3 linked regions of the Saccharomyces cerevisiae S288C genome follow. The gene in region 2 interacts genetically with the main gene of each other region. Each region holds a gene or a part of one and is shown on either strand. Other genes may lie near its edges.

What was found. A genetic interaction does not mean that the proteins touch.
Region 1: mutations in RAD52 (region 2) and CTF4 impair growth when combined (synthetic growth defect), as found in Saccharomyces cerevisiae (6 studies listed by BioGRID, with this or other methods).
Region 3: of RAD52 (region 2) and APN1, changing one enhances a phenotype caused by changing the other (phenotypic enhancement), as found in Saccharomyces cerevisiae (5 studies listed by BioGRID, with this or other methods).

What each region holds. Positions count from the first base shown.
Region 1 is NC_001148.4:797,506-804,083, forward strand, and holds CTF4 (chromatin-binding protein CTF4), read left to right. Parts: upstream 1-1,728; coding exon 1,729-4,512; downstream 4,513-6,578. Other genes in the region: TOM5 (Tom5p), read left to right, coding at 52-204; MSS18 (Mss18p), read left to right, coding at 546-1,352; ribosomal RNA-processing protein RRP9, read left to right, coding at 4,854-6,575. UniProt on the Saccharomyces cerevisiae protein: Accessory factor for DNA replication. It plays a role in accurately duplicating the genome in vivo.
Region 2 is NC_001145.3:208,253-216,387, forward strand, and holds RAD52 (recombinase RAD52), read right to left. Parts: upstream 5,679-8,135; coding exon 4,263-5,678; downstream 1-4,262. Other genes in the region: AMD1 (AMP deaminase), read right to left, coding at 1-608; SRC1 (Src1p), read left to right, coding at 1,273-3,192, 3,319-3,903; NDC1 (Ndc1p), read left to right, coding at 5,937-7,904. UniProt on the Saccharomyces cerevisiae protein: Involved in DNA double-strand break (DSB) repair and recombination. Promotes the annealing of complementary single-stranded DNA and by stimulation of the RAD51 recombinase.
Region 3 is NC_001143.9:221,286-226,359, forward strand, and holds APN1 (DNA-(apurinic or apyrimidinic site) lyase APN1), read right to left. Parts: upstream 3,171-5,074; coding exon 2,067-3,170; downstream 1-2,066. Other genes in the region: serine/threonine protein kinase PRR1, read right to left, coding at 59-1,615; multifunctional nuclease RAD27, read right to left, coding at 3,442-4,590. UniProt on the Saccharomyces cerevisiae protein: DNA repair enzyme that cleaves apurinic/apyrimidinic (AP) sites and removes 3'-blocking groups present at single strand breaks of damaged DNA. APN1 accounts for > 97% of both apurinic/apyrimidinic (AP) endonuclease and DNA 3'-repair diesterase activities.

The DNA.
Region 1 (6,578 bases), on a different chromosome or scaffold from region 2:
CAGTTTCCCACAAAAGGCGTCCATTGGCATCAAATAACTAGATAGTATAAAATGTTTGGTCTACCTCAACAGGAAGTCTCCGAAGAGGAGAAAAGAGCTCATCAAGAACAAACTGAGAAAACCTTGAAACAGGCCGCTTATGTGGCTGCGTTTCTTTGGGTTTCCCCAATGATCTGGCATTTGGTGAAAAAGCAATGGAAATAATTCCCCACTGAAGAAAAAAGATTGCATCTATGAATGACACTAAAATATGTTTCTCTTTTTGTATTTGCTTTTGATTAAATAATGGTCAATTTGCGCCCCCCACCTTATATAGTTTAGAGAAAGACGTGTAAATATTTTTTAAAAAATTGATACTGCTCTAATGAGCCTAAATCTCCTTTCTTCGCTTGTATATATGCGTATTCTGTATGTTTGTCCAGGCAGATTTTTCGGCTTTTTTTACCAGCTTTTATTATTAAAATGTGATAACCTTAATTGAAGGTTGCGATACAAAATAATCCTTTATTACGCATAACCAAGGAAAAGAGAAAATCAGTGCACATATGGGTTTACCTGAAGTTAACTTTCTTCGAAAAAACTGCATACTTGTGGAGTTAAAATTATTCTATCAAACAGTATACCCACCGAAGGAACTATATTGGAATAACCGAATAACTGCAGAATTGAGTACATTCTCCAATATTAAGTATGCAAGGCCGACTTTCGCAGTAAATAATGGCACATTTCAGAGAACAAGACCGAAATTAGACTTGGTACTGGCTTCATCTGATATTCGTAAGCTGGCTACGGTTTTATTTAATTTAAAAGCTCTCATAATGAATACGAAGGGTGAGGAACCCACTCTAACCACGATGACTAGTGTCCAAACGAACGAAGAGAAAAATGATAACCTGGAACAGAAATATTCAAGTCTGCTAGATAGATGGAATGGGAAAGTAGAAGTGCATGATTCTCCTTTCCTTCAACTCCAACGGGACAGCAACCTTTTGTTTGCTGAGAGGCCGGTACGTTACGTTAGCACTACAGAAGGTGAAGGCGTGGACATATCTAGTGAAGAGTTTTTCAGGTTAGAGGAAGAACAGTGCCGAAGGAATTATGATGTTTTGGTCGATGAACATTCTACACCATCAGTCGGGATGAAAGACGGCCAATACGGACCAAATATAATTCACTTTGAACCGTCGCTGTACCACACATATTCTTCTCTACCAATGAGTATGAAATTTTGGTTAAATGGTCTAGAAGACGACGAAACGACGATGATGAACATTGATGAGAAGTCAGCCGAAAATCTGGATATATTATTACATGGTTTCAAAGGATTTTCGAACAAGCGCGTTAAAGGATGAATTAATCATCCTCTTCATGTACTACTTATGTCCAATTTGAGTGTAAAATCACAGGTACAAGGCTTATCCATATTCGTATATATCTTCATAATGTTTCATAATTGCTTCAGAAAATTATTCAAAACGTCTTGTGATATTCATTAGGTGAAATCGTAGTTTGCCTGATACTTGAAAGAATCTCACCTGGAGAATGGGTGTTTTCACTAAGATTCGTTAATTTCCACTAATGATTAATTGTTAACTGTTTAACGCGACGCGTAATAAAGTTTCCTGAATACGCCAACATATGGGAACATATAGATTAAATTAATAAGAAAGCTTGGGAAAAATAATTGAGAAGGGCAAGAAGTGACGTAAATATACTAGACGTACTATTATGGTTTCAGTTATAGACAAGCTTGTTTTTGACTTTGGTGGGAAAACTCTGGTCTCTCTCGCACCAGATAATAATACTTTGTGTGTAGCCAATAAAAATGGCTTAACCAAGATTCTGAAGACAAATAACCCAGAAGAAGAGCCAGAGACTTTAGATTCTTCCAAATTGGTCTCGTCTATAAAATGCTATTCAAACTCGCACTTTCTGATGACTACAATGCAAGGTGATGCTCTTAGGTATAACATCGATTCTAGTCAAGAAGAATTATTGGCTAGATTTGCTTTACCCCTACGTGACTGCTGTGTTATTCATTCAGGTAAAATGGCCGTATTTGGAGGAGACGACTTAGAACTAATCCTTTTGGAATTGGACGATGAAACACACAAAAAACATGCCATTAAAATCGATGAACAAGTTTCTCAAATTTCTTACAATTCACAGATGAATATTTTAGCAGTTTCAATGATAAATGGTAAGGTACAAATTTTTTCTCTGACATCTACTATTCCAAACAAAGTTCATGAGTTAAATGATTACATAGTGGCCAATTCATATGATGATACACACAGAGATAAGATACTCTCGAATATGATGGATGATATAGATAAAGACAATGATAATGACCTGAGTGAAACGGCTGATCCAGATGAGAACAATGTAGCTGATCCAGAATTCTGTGCTGCTAATAGAATTTGCACGAGAGTGGCTTGGCATCCGAAGGGTCTGCATTTTGCGCTACCATGTGCAGATGATACAGTAAAAATATTCTCTATAAAGGGATATTCCCTACAAAAGACGTTGTCCACAAATCTCTCATCAACAAAGGCTCATTTCATTGATTTGCAATTTGACCCGTTACGTGGAACTTACATTGCGGCAGTAGATTTAAATAATAAGTTAACGGTATGGAATTGGGAAACTTCCGAGATCCACTACACCAGGGAATTCAAAAGAAAAATTACTAATATTGCCTGGAAAATCCAAGCGGACTCAAAAACTCTAGACCTTGTTTTAGGTACCTGGTCCGGTAGTATAGCCATTGTCCAAAATTTGGCAGAGTCCGTAGTATCTAATATACCTGACCAATCTGTTGCTGAATCTTCAACTAAACATGGGCTTTTTGTAGACTCCGAATCTGACTTGGAAAACTTAGAGGGAAATGATGATATAAACAAAAGCGATAAGCTATTTTCAGATATTACTCAAGAAGCGAATGCGGAAGATGTGTTCACTCAAACACACGACGGCCCCAGTGGATTAAGTGAAAAGAGAAAATACAACTTCGAAGATGAAGAAGACTTTATTGATGATGACGATGGTGCTGGTTATATTAGTGGCAAAAAACCACATAATGAACATTCTTATTCGAGAGTACACAAGACTCATTCGTTTCCAATCAGTTTGGCAAACACAGGAAAATTTCGTTATATGCCTTTTTCTCCAGCGGGAACACCTTTTGGCTTTACTGACAGGCGTTATTTGACAATGAATGAAGTGGGCTACGTATCTACTGTCAAGAATAGTGAGCAATACAGCATAACTGTCTCTTTTTTTGATGTTGGACGTTTTAGAGAATACCATTTCGAGGACTTATTTGGCTACGATTTATGCTTCCTAAATGAAAAAGGCACTTTATTTGGCCAATCCAAAACTGGGCAGATACAATATAGGCCACACGATAGCATACATTCAAACTGGACCAAGATTATTCCTTTGCAAGCTGGTGAGAGAATAACAAGTGTGGCAGCCACCCCGGTTCGCGTTATTGTTGGTACATCATTAGGCTATTTCAGAAGTTTCAATCAATTCGGGGTTCCATTTGCTGTTGAAAAGACATCCCCAATTGTAGCGCTTACTGCTCAGAATTATAGGGTTTTTTCAGTACATTATTCGCAGTTTCATGGCCTTTCATACTCTTTATCTGAATTGGGTACTTCTAGTAAAAGGTACTATAAAAGAGAGTGTCCACTTCCAATGAGTTTACCAAACATTAATTCTGATATGAAAAAAGACGCAAATCTTGACTACTACAATTTTAATCCGATGGGCATCAAAAGTTTGTTCTTTTCAAGCTACGGAGATCCATGCATTTTTGGGTCCGACAACACGCTTCTATTGTTATCAAAGTGGAGATCACCAGAAGAAAGTAAATGGCTCCCTATTCTAGATAGCAACATGGAAATATGGAAGATGTCAGGAGGGAAGGAAACGACAGATATACATGTCTGGCCCTTGGCTTTGGCGTATGACACATTGAATTGTATCTTAGTTAAGGGCAAGCATATATGGCCCGAGTTTCCCCTTCCGTTGCCATCCGAAATGGAGATTAGAATGCCAGTATTTGTTAAGAGTAAATTACTAGAGGAAAACAAAGCTATATTAAATAAAAAGAACGAAATTGGAGCTGACACCGAAGCGGAAGAAGGGGAAGAAGACAAAGAAATACAGATTCCTGTTTCTATGGCGGCGGAAGAAGAGTATCTGCGCAGCAAGGTTTTGTCAGAGCTGTTGACAGATACACTCGAAAATGACGGTGAAATGTACGGCAACGAAAATGAGGTATTGGCAGCATTGAACGGTGCATATGATAAGGCTTTGTTACGTTTATTTGCGTCTGCATGCTCAGACCAAAATGTTGAAAAGGCTCTTTCGCTTGCTCATGAATTAAAACAAGATAGAGCACTTACTGCAGCCGTTAAGATATCAGAAAGAGCTGAGCTGCCCTCTCTCGTTAAAAAAATTAATAATATAAGGGAAGCTAGATATGAACAGCAATTGAAATAAAAAAATGTAAAATATATATACGCAAGAGACAATTATTTGATACCTGTTCATTTGTTCAAATCATCGTTCAAAATGCTCCCACATTAACATATATTTCTTTGAATGCGACGATAATAAAGAGTTACGTTGAACATGATCTGAGCTGGAAGCGTCCTTGCGAATTTTCGCGAAAGGAAAAAGTGAAAAAATATGAAAAAAAAAAAAAGAGATGACATTTTATAGATGAGCTTTGATTAAACAGTGTAACACCTGGTCCTGTACCGTAAATATTCAAATAAGCATCAATTCAAAGTTCTTTATTTCTTCTTTAGCATTTCAAAATTATAGAAAATCTAGAAAAGATGTCAGATGTTACCCAACAGAAAAAGAGGAAAAGATCCAAAGGAGAAGTTAATCCATCAAAACCCACAGTAGACGAAGAAATCACAGATCCATCCTCAAACGAAGATGAACAACTAGAAGTTTCGGATGAAGAAGACGCATTGGAATCTGAAGAAGAATTCGAGGGTGAAAATCCAGCCGATAAAAGAAGGAGGCTTGCAAAGCAATATCTGGAGAATCTGAAAAGCGAAGCTAATGACATTTTAACTGATAATAGGAACGCTGAAGAAAAAGATTTAAACAATCTCAAGGAAAGAACAATCGACGAGTACAACAATTTTGATGCTGGAGATTTGGATAAGGATATCATTGCGTCCAGGTTAAAAGAAGACGTTGCTGAACAGCAAGGCCGAGTCTTCAGATATTTTGGCGATAAACTTCTAATATCTGAAGCAAAACAGAGCTTTACCAGGGTAGGGGAAAATAACCTTACTTGCATTAGTTGTTTCCAACCCGTTTTAAACAAATACACCTTCGAGGAATCATCTAATGGCGATAAGAACAAAGGTAGGTTATTTGCCTATACAGTTAGCAAAGACTTACAACTCACCAAATATGACATTACTGACTTTAGCAAAAGACCAAAGAAGCTAAAATACGCTAAAGGAGGAGCAAAATATATACCTACGAGCAAGCACGAATATGAGAATACCACAGAAGGCCATTATGACGAAATCTTAACTGTAGCAGCCTCACCAGATGGTAAATATGTTGTCACAGGTGGAAGAGATAGGAAGTTAATTGTATGGAGCACAGAATCTCTATCACCCGTTAAAGTTATTCCAACAAAGGATCGCCGAGGGGAAGTTTTATCGTTGGCTTTTAGAAAAAATTCTGATCAGTTATATGCATCCTGCGCAGATTTTAAGATAAGAACATATTCAATAAATCAATTTTCCCAGTTGGAGATTCTTTATGGGCATCATGATATAGTGGAAGATATATCTGCGTTGGCGATGGAAAGGTGTGTTACCGTTGGTGCCCGTGATAGAACAGCTATGCTTTGGAAGATTCCTGACGAGACCAGACTAACATTTAGAGGTGGCGATGAACCTCAAAAGCTACTAAGGAGATGGATGAAAGAAAACGCTAAGGAGGGAGAAGATGGAGAAGTCAAATATCCTGATGAATCAGAGGCACCTTTATTTTTCTGCGAGGGTAGTATTGACGTTGTGAGTATGGTGGATGATTTTCACTTTATAACAGGCTCCGATAATGGTAATATATGTCTATGGTCTCTGGCGAAGAAGAAACCTATCTTCACGGAAAGAATTGCCCATGGTATTTTACCTGAGCCCTCTTTCAATGACATTTCGGGGGAAACCGATGAAGAATTAAGAAAAAGACAGTTGCAAGGCAAGAAATTGCTACAACCATTTTGGATCACATCTCTTTACGCTATTCCATATTCGAATGTATTCATATCTGGATCATGGAGTGGATCGCTAAAAGTTTGGAAAATTAGTGATAATCTCAGATCATTTGAGTTGCTAGGTGAATTATCTGGCGCTAAAGGTGTAGTTACCAAGATTCAGGTTGTAGAAAGTGGTAAACATGGGAAGGAGAAGTTCCGTATTTTGGCTAGTATTGCCAAAGAACACAGACTCGGTAGATGGATTGCAAATGTTTCAGGTGCCAGAAATGGTATATATTCAGCTGTCATTGACCAAACAGGCTTTTAGATT
Region 2 (8,135 bases):
CTCAAATTTCTACACTCTGCCACTTTGGAATACAAGTCAATCAACTCGGAAGAGGGATCATCAAGAAACTGCTGTGAAGCATCATCAGCCAACATTCCCATTTTATAGGAGGCAGAGGTACGTACCTGCTTATTCACTACCGGAGCGCCGGCAAATGACTTGAGCGTCTCTGGCAAGATATGCTGAGCACTAGCAGACAAGGTCCTCGGTTTACCCCCGGAATTTTGAGATGCATGGTCTGCCGAGTCATGGCCCTTATTCATCGCTGCTATGTTGGAAGAGCTACAATTGGTAGAATGCGATGGTTGCTCCAAGATGGCAGAGTGAGAATCATGCTCATCTAGGGCCAACTGTTTGGTGCCATTTTCCAACAACTGCTGATTCTCGTGATACGAGAAATTAGCATTCCGAGAATCAGCAGCTAAACTTTCGTGTGAATCTTGCTGCTCTAAGGGGGGTGTCTCATCATCCACTACGACACCAGCTTGTTCATCACCAATCTTTCTTTGATCTATGTCAATGACTAGTCCTGAACCATCTTGTTCATCGTGTGAAGGAGCTGGTTCTAGAGAAAGGTCGTTAAGCCTCTGTGTAGCCTGATTGTCCATAATTTTTTTTAGAATGCCCCCTTTTTATTTGTTATATAATTTATTAATCTGGCGTACTAGCAGTTCAATCGAGTTTTGCTGAATCAAAATTGGCTATAGCAGGGAGACTATAATAAAAATACTATTAATATCCGATAATTGACTAGTATACGAGAAACGCTGCTAATTCTGCCTGTAGAGAGAGAGAAGAAAAGTCGTCAAGAGATGCCTTTTTTTTTTTTTTAAAATTTATCTATTTTTTGATAATATCCTTTAAACCTTGTGCTACTAGAACTCCTTTCTCATCATCGCCAGGCGCAAAAAAAAGATGAAAAAGGAATGAAAAAAGAAAAGAGAAGACCCCCACGTGCCCTAAAAATAAAGTTAGGGCATCTATAAAATAACTAGGATATATATATTGATCACCCTGAACGGAAATCAAGGGTTTTAAAGAGCCCTCAAAATTACTGTTTTAGGAAGCCCCCTTTGTTTTTGTTTTGGTTTCAATTTGTGGTGGCTAATCTGGACATCGATCTACTTGTATAGCTGTCAATATACTATGCGGAATACATGGAAGAGAAATAGTCCTCAGTCATTATTAATAGTAGACTGAGACCATACGGAGTGAACGTAGAGGCCAGAACAACAAACAGTAGAACGGTAGCAGTACTCAGTTAGTGCCGCGATGAATAGTGACTTGGAGTATTTAGAGGACGGTTTTGATCCGAATTCAATGAAAGTTGCGACTTTGAGGAGGATATTGGTAGAAAATAATGTCGATTTCCCATCTAATGCTAGGAAAAATGCGCTGGTGGGGCTGTTCGATGAAAAGGTTAAACCGCAGATCCCGCAGTTACGGAAAATGTATCTGAACGTTCGGCCCAGCGATGAAGGTATTGTGAAAATGGACCGTCCCTCATCTTCCCCATCTATAGCTTCCCCTCGTAGAAGTAGACGAGCTCGCAGGGAGAAATCTGCTTCCCCCATGGCCAAACAGTTTAAGAAGAATAGAATACTGGATGATGTAAGTAATGATGATGATGATGATGATGATGATGATGATGACAATGATAAAAAAGACGATCCTTTAATTGTACCTAGTGGAACGGATACCGATGAAGTGGACGATGAAGAGGATGATGTGATAACATCAAGCTCCAACAAATCAGACACCAATGATTTCCAGCAAAATTCCGATACTCGTAAGAAAAGGAAAGACCCTGATTCTGACGACTGGTCTGAATCTAATTCAAAGGAAAATAAAATCGATAATAAGCATTTGAACCTCCTATCATCAGATTCAGAAATTGAACAGGATTACCAGAAGGCAAAAAAGCGTAAGACGAGTGATTTGAACCAAGAGCATGGAAATGGCTCTGCCATTTTAGGAAAACTTTCCGTCAAAACACCAATAAAGAACACAAATAGAAAGCCAGTAAGCATGGATAATTTTAACGATTCGTTGACTTCAAGCGGTACGGAAAATGATCCATTTGTACCGAACATACGACACAATCCAAAAGAGCTCGGAACTGCCAATGGAACAGGCCATAGCACACCCTTGAGTAAGTTAAAAGTTTCTGCCTCATTTGCGGATAAATTGCCTCAAAAGGAGGTACCATCTACAATACTGGTTCCAGAAGTGGAACAGCAAGAACCTTCTCAGAGTGAAAGAACACCGTCTTTGTTTTCGTCCGAAGGCTCTGGCTCAGAGTCGGAAGCACCCTTGCTTCCAGAGATCACCACGCCAGGTCCTCATCAGCCTATGGGTAATACCAGCAATAATGTGGTCGAAATGATAGATACAGATAGTAGTAACTTGGTATCGGATGAAGATGAAGTTTTAGTGCCTACAAGGATCGAGACTCCCCAATTACCCACAGAGAAAGACGTCGAAAAGTGTGAAGCAAGAGTGCAAGAACTTCAAGAGGAAGTAAATGAGCAATTAGAGCATGAAAATGGGAGTGAATTTGATGTTAAGCAAGGATCTGGGAAGGTCGGGAACAGGCATAAGTTCAAAAGAGCACTCAAATTTTTGAGCAAATCATTACTGGCGCTATTTTTATTTTGCATATTCATTGTTATTCCTCTCTTATTTGGCCTCTGGTATAGAGAGCAAAGACTGCTCATAGGTTACTGTGGGCATGAAGTACCATCCCATCGAGTTAGTGGCAATTCCTTCGAGTTTATTCAAAAACTGGATAATTTGTTGCAGGACTACAGACCGAAATGTATCCCTTGTCCACCCAATGGTATTTGTTATCCTTATTTGAAACTTAAATGTAAGCCAGATTACAAGTTAGCACCATCTAGACTTGACTTTTTGGAAATTATTCCTGCACAAGGCAAATGTGTTAAAGACGACAAAAAACAGCAGTTAGTTTCCGAAGTGGTTGAAAAATCTTTAGAGTTTCTGAGAGCCAAAAATGCACAAATTTCATGCGGTGACGGAAAAGACGACATCGAGAGTGGTATGACGGAAGATGCCCTCTATCAAATATTTAATGAGGCTAGAGCTCCTTGGATTCGCGACGATGAATTTGAGGACCTGTGGATCCAAGTTATCAAAGATTTAACTGAAGAACCAGAAATATTATGGAGGCAAGTGAGTACAATTTATTATCTTACAAAAATTATTAAACCTGTTATTATATGATAACAGTTTTAATTTTTTTTGAATTTTTTTTTGTTTTTGATTTATTTACTAACATCTTTTCCTAATTTTCTCTAGTTATCACCCACTGACAACAACATTGGCGGAAATTCCAACAACATCATTAAAACCAATGACGTTCCGAGACAGAAGAGACATCTTCCAGAAAAATTCATCTCCAAGACGAGGAATTTTCGGTCGACGTCCAAGAAATACATTGGAATGAAGTGTCGATTTGAAAGAGAAATCTACCAAACGTATAAAAAATTTCAAAGGCCAATATGGCTAATGTTTTTACTGATAGTCATTAGTAAAGTAATCGAGATCAAGCTGAAGAATTATTATAGAAAGAAGGCAAGAATTGAAGAACTCGTTACTCAAACCATGGAAAAATTGAAATTCCAAAAGATTAAATCAATGTCCGATCCGAAAGAAAACGCGTATTTGAGCATAGTTCAATTGCGTGACATCTTTCTTTCTGATATTGTCGATCTGAAATACAAAAATCAATTATGGTCAGAAGTGGTAAAATATTTAGAGCATAATAACAGTAATATTAAATCGAACTTAACTGAAATTCGAGGTGAAATAATGAAATGTTGGGAATGGATAGGTCCGATGGAACTCAATGAACCTAAGGATTCCGCTGAAAACAAAATATAACCCACAAAATGAAACTCAAACGTAGTTTTCTCTTCTCAAACTTAATGATCTATTGTTTTTCCGAGTTGCCATATTTGTATAGTTTATTCTATTTATACGGTTATCCTAATATCTGTTATATAATTCTTTATGTAATACTTTTGTAAAGTTATAATGAATCTAATCCTGAAAATGACTTGTAAAATAATAAGAATTTTTTATTCGATTTAAAGTAAATATTAATACGACACATGGAGGAAAGAAAAACTAGACGATATAGGAAGAAATACAAATAAAATCAGAATTGAAAGAGTAACTAGAGGATTTTGGAGTAATAAATAATGATGCAAATTTTTTATTTGTTTCGGCCAGGAAGCGTTTCAAGTAGGCTTGCGTGCATGCAGGGGATTGATCTTTGGTCTTCCAACTTCTCTTCGTGTCGATCTTTGTTGCGGAACGGCTGGCACTGCACCATTTCCATTAGGATGTACTACCTTAGAAGGCGGCGCAAACCGTGGAGCAGCTGCAGGCGGAAAAGCTGTAGCGTTCGTTTTAATTGGTGTGGTTTCACGCGGTACTTGATTCCCAGCCCCTTCTAGCATATGAGGCCCCAGTTCTTTATCATTGTTCTTCATGCTCAATTGTTTTCCCTTTGGTGCAAATTTTTCATAGACAGAATCCCTCGCGGTGGTCATCGTTTTGTCTTTTAGCACACTCGCTGGAATATGCTTGGACGTAGTCTGATCAACGGTGTGCCTAATGGATTGTGCCTGGTATTTGGGATCAAAAATGCTCTCTTCACCAATATAACGTTCATTTTGTACGGAAGTTGCAGCCTTAGCTGTAACAAAGGTGATTTGTTCTGCCTCTGGGTTTGAGCTAGCAGTTGGGCTTTGCTTAGCTACAACGGGATCCTTCTCTGTCGTTAAAACATTACTGTTTGTGTTGCCCATATTTATCAAGTCGTCGTCTTGAAAATCATCGCTAAACATAAGAGAATCATCGAGAAGGTCATCTTGATCCTGTTTGGAAGCATCGAGAGATTTGAGATCAGTATCTTTATTACTGCTGTTTTTACTGTTAGCCTCAGCAGGTGCGGCCATCATTGGGGTACCTCGACTTACTGTATTTTCTATTTTCACCAGGTTCTTCGTCGAGTCGGGATTGGTATTTGTAACTTTAGTCAATTGCCTTCTTTTATTCGGGTATTGTTGTTGTTCTTGATTTTCATGCAAAGTATTCGTTCTTGAGCTTTCGCTGATTTCATCCGTTGGCCTAAACAAATTGTTTTCGTCAAAATCTGGCGGATCGAACTTCACCTTATCGATCTTTGCCAGAAAATCTTTATCGTAAAGACAATTTCCTAGAGCATTACCAAACCCTCTCAAAGATCTTTTCAAGGCATCCGTAACGGCAGATTTCTTGGCCCTTTCGAAAGCGGCAGGTTTCCGTCTTTCGTTCTCCACGGTACCATACCCAATATCTTCCCTATAAGTCCCGCTAGTCAACGTAACACGAACAATTGCAGTACACCCTATGCTAAACTTTCCCTGTCGCTCATCCAAAAAATCGATAACTACACTTTTTACCTCCGTAGACCAGCCATTATATCCAAAGATTTGATTAGCAAGATTAATTACTCTCCAACCTTCGATGTATGCAATCCTGCTTGTTCCAAACCCAACTCTCTTGGAGATATACTCAGGTCCTAATTTCTTGTCCAATTTGGTCTGTATGTCCTCGGAATGGTTACCGAAAACGGGCTTCTTCTCATCCATATCCATAATTTCATTCATCAACAACACACCAAAGCCACCAGAACCTTCAGCAGTTCTTGGCAACCTCCTTGTTTGCATTTGTTGATTCTCAGTGGCAAAATAGCTTAAAAACGCCATTCGATACCGGTCGCGTAACCCGCCCGCCGCTATATTTTTCGTCTTTTCTTAACAGACTAAAGAATATAATAACATCGAGAATCACTAACGGGAAGAGCAGACTCTTTGGCGATGAGTAAGTGTGATTGAGAAGACGAAAGGACATTACAGGGCAAGCAGATGATACAGACGCCAAGGGAGTTGTTGAATCCACGGTACACGTACCATACCATCTTTAGCGACGTGTGCAAGACCCGATTCAACCATTTAGTTACGAGGTTGTTTTTCATATGTTCTATTATCCAAACTGTGGTGATTTCACTGCTGGCGTTGCCACACTCACCGTTATGGGAACTGGCATTGGCATTTATTCCCAATATTTTAGCTCTTAACCTAGTTTCCCTTTTGATCATTGTGACAAGAAAAAATTACATGCATGTAAAGAATTTTGGGTTCGCTAATTCACTTACTTTCATTCTAGGCCAATTGTTATCAGTAAAGTTTCTTGTATACCAGGGAGTCTATAGCATGGGCAGCATCCTTTTATCATTCGTACTGGGTGTGGTTTTCGGACGTGGCGGATCTGGATGGAAGCCATACTATAAGCTGTTTATTTGGCTAGTCGTTCCCACGATTTACAACCTACAACATCATGTCACTGACGCTGACAAATTGTCGTTCAACTGCGAAAACTTTTTCCAGGCCCCACAAGACTACGTATTAGAGCGTGTCAAGAGGATTATGGAGAAGTCAGTCATTCTAAGTGTAATCAGCATGTTCGTATTACCAATCTTTACCACAGTATTTTTTTCCAGGCAAAAATCGGGATTATTTGATTCATTTACGAATGGCGTGCTAGCTGTCACAAATTTACTAATAATCTCCTGCATTATCTTCATCACTTTCGAATTCATAAATATAGCATTTGACGCACATATGTCCATAGGTTGTCTGCACAAGGGCAAGCTAATTTCGAATTTGTCGTCGACGCCGATGGAAACCCTGCTTAGTGGGCTTTCTGCAGACAAGCCATTTACTAGGTTGACTGCCTACCAGGAACTAGCGTATAGGGCCACTTCACTGGATCCATCATTGCGAGCACCAATATATCACTCCAAGTTCAGAAGCAGTAGTGGTAATACTTGGTCATTAATCCTCAATGAATGCTTGAAGACCATTCAGATAAACAATGAAAAGGTTGTGCAGTACCTAAGATCAGTACAAGATCTTGGGGGCTCTGCAACTGCTAGACATAAAAAAAAAGTAGAAAATCTAGATTATATGTATGAGAACGGGAAACTAACAAGCGCCAACGAAAGACTCTTTGGGAACCGACCCTCTATGATGGCGCCATTACGGGATAACGGCTTATTAGATGAATCACCAAACAGGCTGAGGGTAAGAACTGACGATAGTGTATTGCTTAACCGCGGAAACAAGAAAAGGCATAGGTCCTCGTATTACGACAACGATTTAGATGAAACGACACAAACTTTTAACGGCTCTATTTTCACCCACGAAACAACATTTATGACCGCTATGCGTCTGATGTTAAAAAAACTGAAAAATTCTATAATGTCGTTTATTTTCCCTTCCTACGCAGAAAGACAATCATCTGATGAAAGCGACAATTACAGACTATTACCAAATGGCTCCAACAAAGCCCAAATCTCGATAATTGACATATGGTCCATTTCCAAGAAAAGGCAAGCTGAGAAGCTGGTTCCATTGCCCATATGCCACGCAAATAGTGTGGTAGCACTGACAGGACTGCTGATCCGATCAAAGACAGAAGATCCAAAAGGCGGTATCATTGCATCCGTTGGGGATATTCTTAAGACTTTGGAGAGGTCCATCTGTGCACTGGGTGAATTTGCCGATTGGGATCCGGAATCGATGGCATACACTGCCTTCCAAACACAAAGGACAGCCCAAGATAGAGTACAACAAGACAGTGAAGACGAAGATAGCATGAAAGACACTACTGACATGATCAGTGTTCTTTATCAGCTGTCCACCAGTGCTTTTATGGAGATTGTACTTGAATACAATGTTGCTCTGAACGACGTATATTTGGATGCAGACGTGGCCAAGTTGGCGAACTGGTTTCTAGAAGTGTACGCCTCAGGCAACCCTAATGCTACGTAATACAATTCAACCGAGGAGCACCCCTCCTCCCATTTCATGTAAGATAAATACAATAATAAAAATTGGAATACCGCACAAATGCTTTAGTAGAGGCCTAATATGAGCAAAAAGAGCAAAAAGCTACCTTTATCGTTTCCGGGTAGCGAATCAAGGAGGGCCCTTTTATGCTTCAAGAATAATAGTAAAGAAAAGTATAGAGAAGAGGAAGCAATGCTTCCTATCGGAATTAAT
Region 3 (5,074 bases), on a different chromosome or scaffold from region 2:
ATTATCAGGTGTAAGCAATAAGAAAGAAAACGAAAGTAACTCCCATCCGTGGGAAATTTCAAGAAAAACTTAGAGTATCAGCGATCGTTTTAACGAAGGGGGATTCGTAAATTTCATTAATCGACCAACGTTGGTTCTTCCTCGTTAGCGTATTTTCCACAATCTGTTTTCCCACATTAGTTTTATAATCGCTTAACCGGTACCATCTCCAATCAAACCTGGCAATACGATGTGACGTAGCTCTGCTACGCTGTCTTGCTGAAGCGTTTGGAGGAGGGTCAAATGGTAATCTGTCCTCAAACAAGCTGTATAGTATGACACCTAAGGCCCACGTGTCGCTTAAATGGCCATCGTAGGGAACTCCCATCAGGATTTCTGGTGAGACATAATCCTCTGATCCACATCTTGCTGTACACATCTCATTGTTCTCAATTTTTTTGCAGAGACCAAAATCTGCTAGCTCAATGAAATTTTGCTTGCAGTAAATGGGTGAGTCCCTAAAACTGTTGATATCATCAAAACTATATTTCAGTAGTATATTCTCTAATTTTAGGTCCCGATGAATAATACTGTTTTCGTGCAAATATTTTACTGCCAGTACTACTTCCGTAAAAATCCTTTGAATCAGCCACGCTTCTAGTCTTCCGTTACGGGCCATGACGGCAGCTAATAAGTCTCCTGCAGGACAATAAGACATAATCATATCACAAGGCGGCAGAGCTCTTGGAGTTTTTATAATCAAATCGCATAAAGGTTTTTTGCTAGTAACAAAAATTGGATTGTTTATCCCAAGTAGTTTAACTATACATGGGTGATTTAGTGATTTTAGCACCTGCAATTCCCTAGTCAGAGAATTTTCCAAACGGGATAAAGTTTCCTTATATCGTAACGATGTATTGATTTGTTCAACATTTGATAATTCCTCGGGATATTTGAGTCGTTTAACGGCCACTTGTTTCAGTTTAGGATTGCTTTGGTCCATGAGTTCATATAAAAGTACGGTACTAAAATTTCCTGAACCAATGGGCCTGACCTTTTTCCATAATAACGGGCGATCCCAGTGATCTAAAAGAAATCCCTGAAATATATCATCGTCACACTTTTCGGTAGAACTACTACTTTCGGGAAAATAAGGTTCTTTCGTGTAGTTATCACTATCAACAGAATCATTTACTAAAGCCTCTTCAGTCACTGTTGGTAAGGAAACAACCCTTTGGGGGGATAAATTAGCTGGTGCAATAAGTTCAGAAACAACTCTTTGGTTTGGTTGTGTAACAGAAAGCATATCATCCAGTAATCGTGCATGACTTCGTCTTTTGGGTATATTCAACGAGGATTGATCTATAGGTGACATTGACAGATTGCCTGGGGATAACGGAGTGTAGGTCATCGGTGTAGGTAATGCTTGGACATTTTCAAACGTCGGAATAGATACAGTCAAAGGTGTACTGCGAGAATCACCAGTGGTCCCTTCAGTGGATGCCATTTTTTTATCTTCCTCACCATTTTCATCAATCAATGCCTTTTCGTGTTGATCGCCAATGGAGTCGGGAAATCCTTCTTGTTTCAACCGAGGAGTCTTTGGTTGTGAATATATACTACTATATTCATCCATTGTCGGTATAACCTAACAGCTGCTGTGGGTATGGATGAATTCGAAGCGTAGATGTGATTACTATCTCAAAATATACTTGTCTAATTGTGTAAAAAAGAAAAAAAAGATAAAGAACACACCCCGCGTTGAAGATTACAAGTAAAAAACTTTCTATGCTTAGGAATAACGTTCCATAAGAGGATGGTGTGCTCAGCCTTCTTAGTTCATTTACTGGAATGTATTTAACTTTACCCTTTTCGTCTGCTAATCCATCAGTATGTGAAAAATGAAAATCTAAAAAAAAAAAAGGCTGCCTTATTCTGTAACGCAACGCGAAACATCTATAAACCAAGTAAGTAGTTTCTATGAAATGGGCAACAGCATCTTGGATGACGAAGGGTAGCATTTAGTTACGTACGTTGAGATAATCTACAAAAATTGATTACGTATTTAAAATTCTTCTCGCTTCTCATTATTCTTTCTTAGTCTTCCTCTTCTTTGTCATTTGTGACAAGATATCATTATCGCTTGGCTCTGCAGTGGCTTTCTTCCTCTTGGTGCCCCCAGCTCGCTTCTTTTGTTTAACCTCAAACTTGTCTAACTGTTCCTTACGCGATTTAGCACCTAATTTCTGCAGCGTATCATTTTTTTCTTTATACTCCTTGTCTTCTAACAATTCGCTCTCACTCTTTGATTCCAACCACTCCATAAGTTTGATTTCATTACCATAGCCTTCATCATTTTCGTATGGAGTTTCCAAGACAATAGGGATACCCTGCAGGTATTCAGAGTGCGCGATCATTCTAAACACATCTATACCCAAATAACCTTGACCCAAGCGTTCATGCAAATCTCTATTTGCTCCTAAAGGAGCCTTGGAATCATTTAAGTGAACAGCACTTAGATATTTGAACCCTATTACATCATTGAACTCTTTCCAAAAATTGTTAAACGTTTCAGTGGTGCTGATATCGTAGCCTGCTGCAAATGTATGGCATGTATCTATGCAAACGCCGATTCTTGATTTATCTTCAATCATTCCAATAACCTCCTTCAAATCTACCAGAGAACTTCCTACTAAATTTCCAGTACCAGCCATATTTTCTAATACAATTTTAACAAATTTCGTTTCCTTAATTGCTTTGTTCAAATATGAGGCTAGTTGTTTTAACTGCAACTGATGGTCTCCTTTCAAAGTAGAACCTGGATGTAAGTTATACAGGCCTATCCCTAATTGCTCACACCTGTTCAGATCGTCCATGAATGACTCATAACTCTTTTCTGCCTTTTCCCTATCCGGATTAGCCAAATTAATAAAGTATTGGCCATGCGGTAAGACGTCCGTCAATGGGTTATAATTGTAAGTTGCACAGTTTTTCTTAAATTTATCTATTTCCTCCTGTGTATACTGCGGAGAAACCCACTTTCTTGGAGATTTTAAAAACATGGCAAACGAATTACAGCCAGTGTTAAATGCATTAGTTACACTATTAGAAATTCCACCGGCACCTGACATGTGCGCACCAAATTTGTATTTCGAGACAGCAGATCTAACAAAGCTAGGTGTCGAAGGCATTACGATGGTTCCGATATGCCAAAAGCTTATTAATGTTGCGTTTTGTGTTTCTTATTCGGAGTTTGTCATCTTATATTTACAATGATTTCCAACATGTAAAGAAATGAAGAAAAAGAAACCAGGTAAGAATGAAAAATTCCACGTTCAAGTTCCCAGAAAAACTGGCAAAAAAAGAGAAGTATTAGATGAAAAAAGTTCGTGTATACAAATATCTATGTTACATATATGCCAAGGTGAAGGACCAAAAGAAGAAAGTGGAAAAAGAACCCCCTCATCTTCTTCCCTTTGTGACTTTATTCTTATTTTTGTTCAATTTTTTATTTTCTTGTGCTCTTTTCGCCGCAGCAGCCAGCTGTTCCTTTGTCTTAGGCACCACTTGGAAGAACCCATCTAACCTACCCTGAATGCCAGATTTCAAGCCTTTTTTCAATCTTGATATACCAGATTTAACTCTTTCTTCACTGAATTTCTTATCATCACATAAATACTCGATAAGTTCCTTCTCCTTTGGTGGCGACCATTTCAAGTTTATTTCGTTACCATCTATAACTTCAGGGTCAAGAAACAGCATTCTTGCTTGTTTGTAAGGCCAGTCTTCTGGGATTTTCCATTTAGTGTTGTTTGACTCCCCAGATTCAATAAACTCCACGATTTTTTCGATGGATCCATGCGTTTTTATCAATTTTAAGGCTGTCACTGGACCAACACCTCTGATGCTTTCACAGTAGTCACAACCAAGCATTATGCAAAGATCAACAAACTGCTCTATTGTCAAGTCGAGTCCTCTCAAAACTAATTCAGTATCTATTTCGTGAATCGGTTCCTTCTTGGCCTCTGAAAAAGTCAAATGTCTCAACAAGAAGGGTGTTCTATAACAGAGTGTGTCCATATCTTCACTTGCTGCGGCATACACCTTTCCCTTCTTTGCCAACTCAGCACATTGAGCCTCAGCTTCCGTTGGCGCTATTATATATGGGATTCCCATTAGTCCTAGTAATTTTTGGGCTTCTTCATTATGCTCTTTTGAGACCTTCACCAATCTTCTTTCTTGCTTCATCTTTTCCAATTCTGTTGTTGCCTCTGCCAGTTTTTTTTCTGTTTCCACCCTTCTTGAAGACCGCTTTGTCAACTCATGAGATTTCAAATCTGGAGGTTTGCCGTCGAAGACATAACAAGGCTTGATACCGTTATCAATCATTCTCAGTGTCCTATAAAACATACCCATCAAGTGTGACGTTGTTTCACCGGCTTCATTGGTCAACTGCCCACCGTCTTGCTGTCTTACAGCAATTAAAAACTGATATAGAGACATAGAGGCATCGATGGCAACCTTTCTGCCAAAAAAGCTCTTGATATCGCTTTTCCTGATAGCAGAGGGAACATGTTCCGATATAATTGCATTCAAACCTTTAATACCCATATTTTTTCTTCCGGTGTCCGTTTCCTATTTCTTTCCAATGTATGCTGTCAACGCTTTTCATCGATGTATATAAGGAAGAATACCTCATTATAATACATCAAAACCTTCATTTGCGCGATGTTACGCGTCGCGTTTCCTATAAAAAATACATAAGCTAGTGAATAAAAGCTTTAAACGCGTTAGGGGGATCTGCAATTAAAGTAAATAAATGAAATAAATGAAATAGATGAAAAACTGGTTACACTAATTATAACGTTAATAAAACTAGTTGATAATCAAAATATTGCCATAGCTAAGCCAATAGTACAGCGTTGGCTTTCTATCATAACTTACCAGCCGGGTGCCCAATCGGGTATCTGTCACCGAAAGTCACTGTTAACGAGGTGTGATTCAGCCGGGTACTAGTCTAGCATTTTTTTTCGCCTGTTTTTTTCGTGAAAAACGAAAAGTGGCAAGCAAACTTATATCACTTTCTACTTCTTTC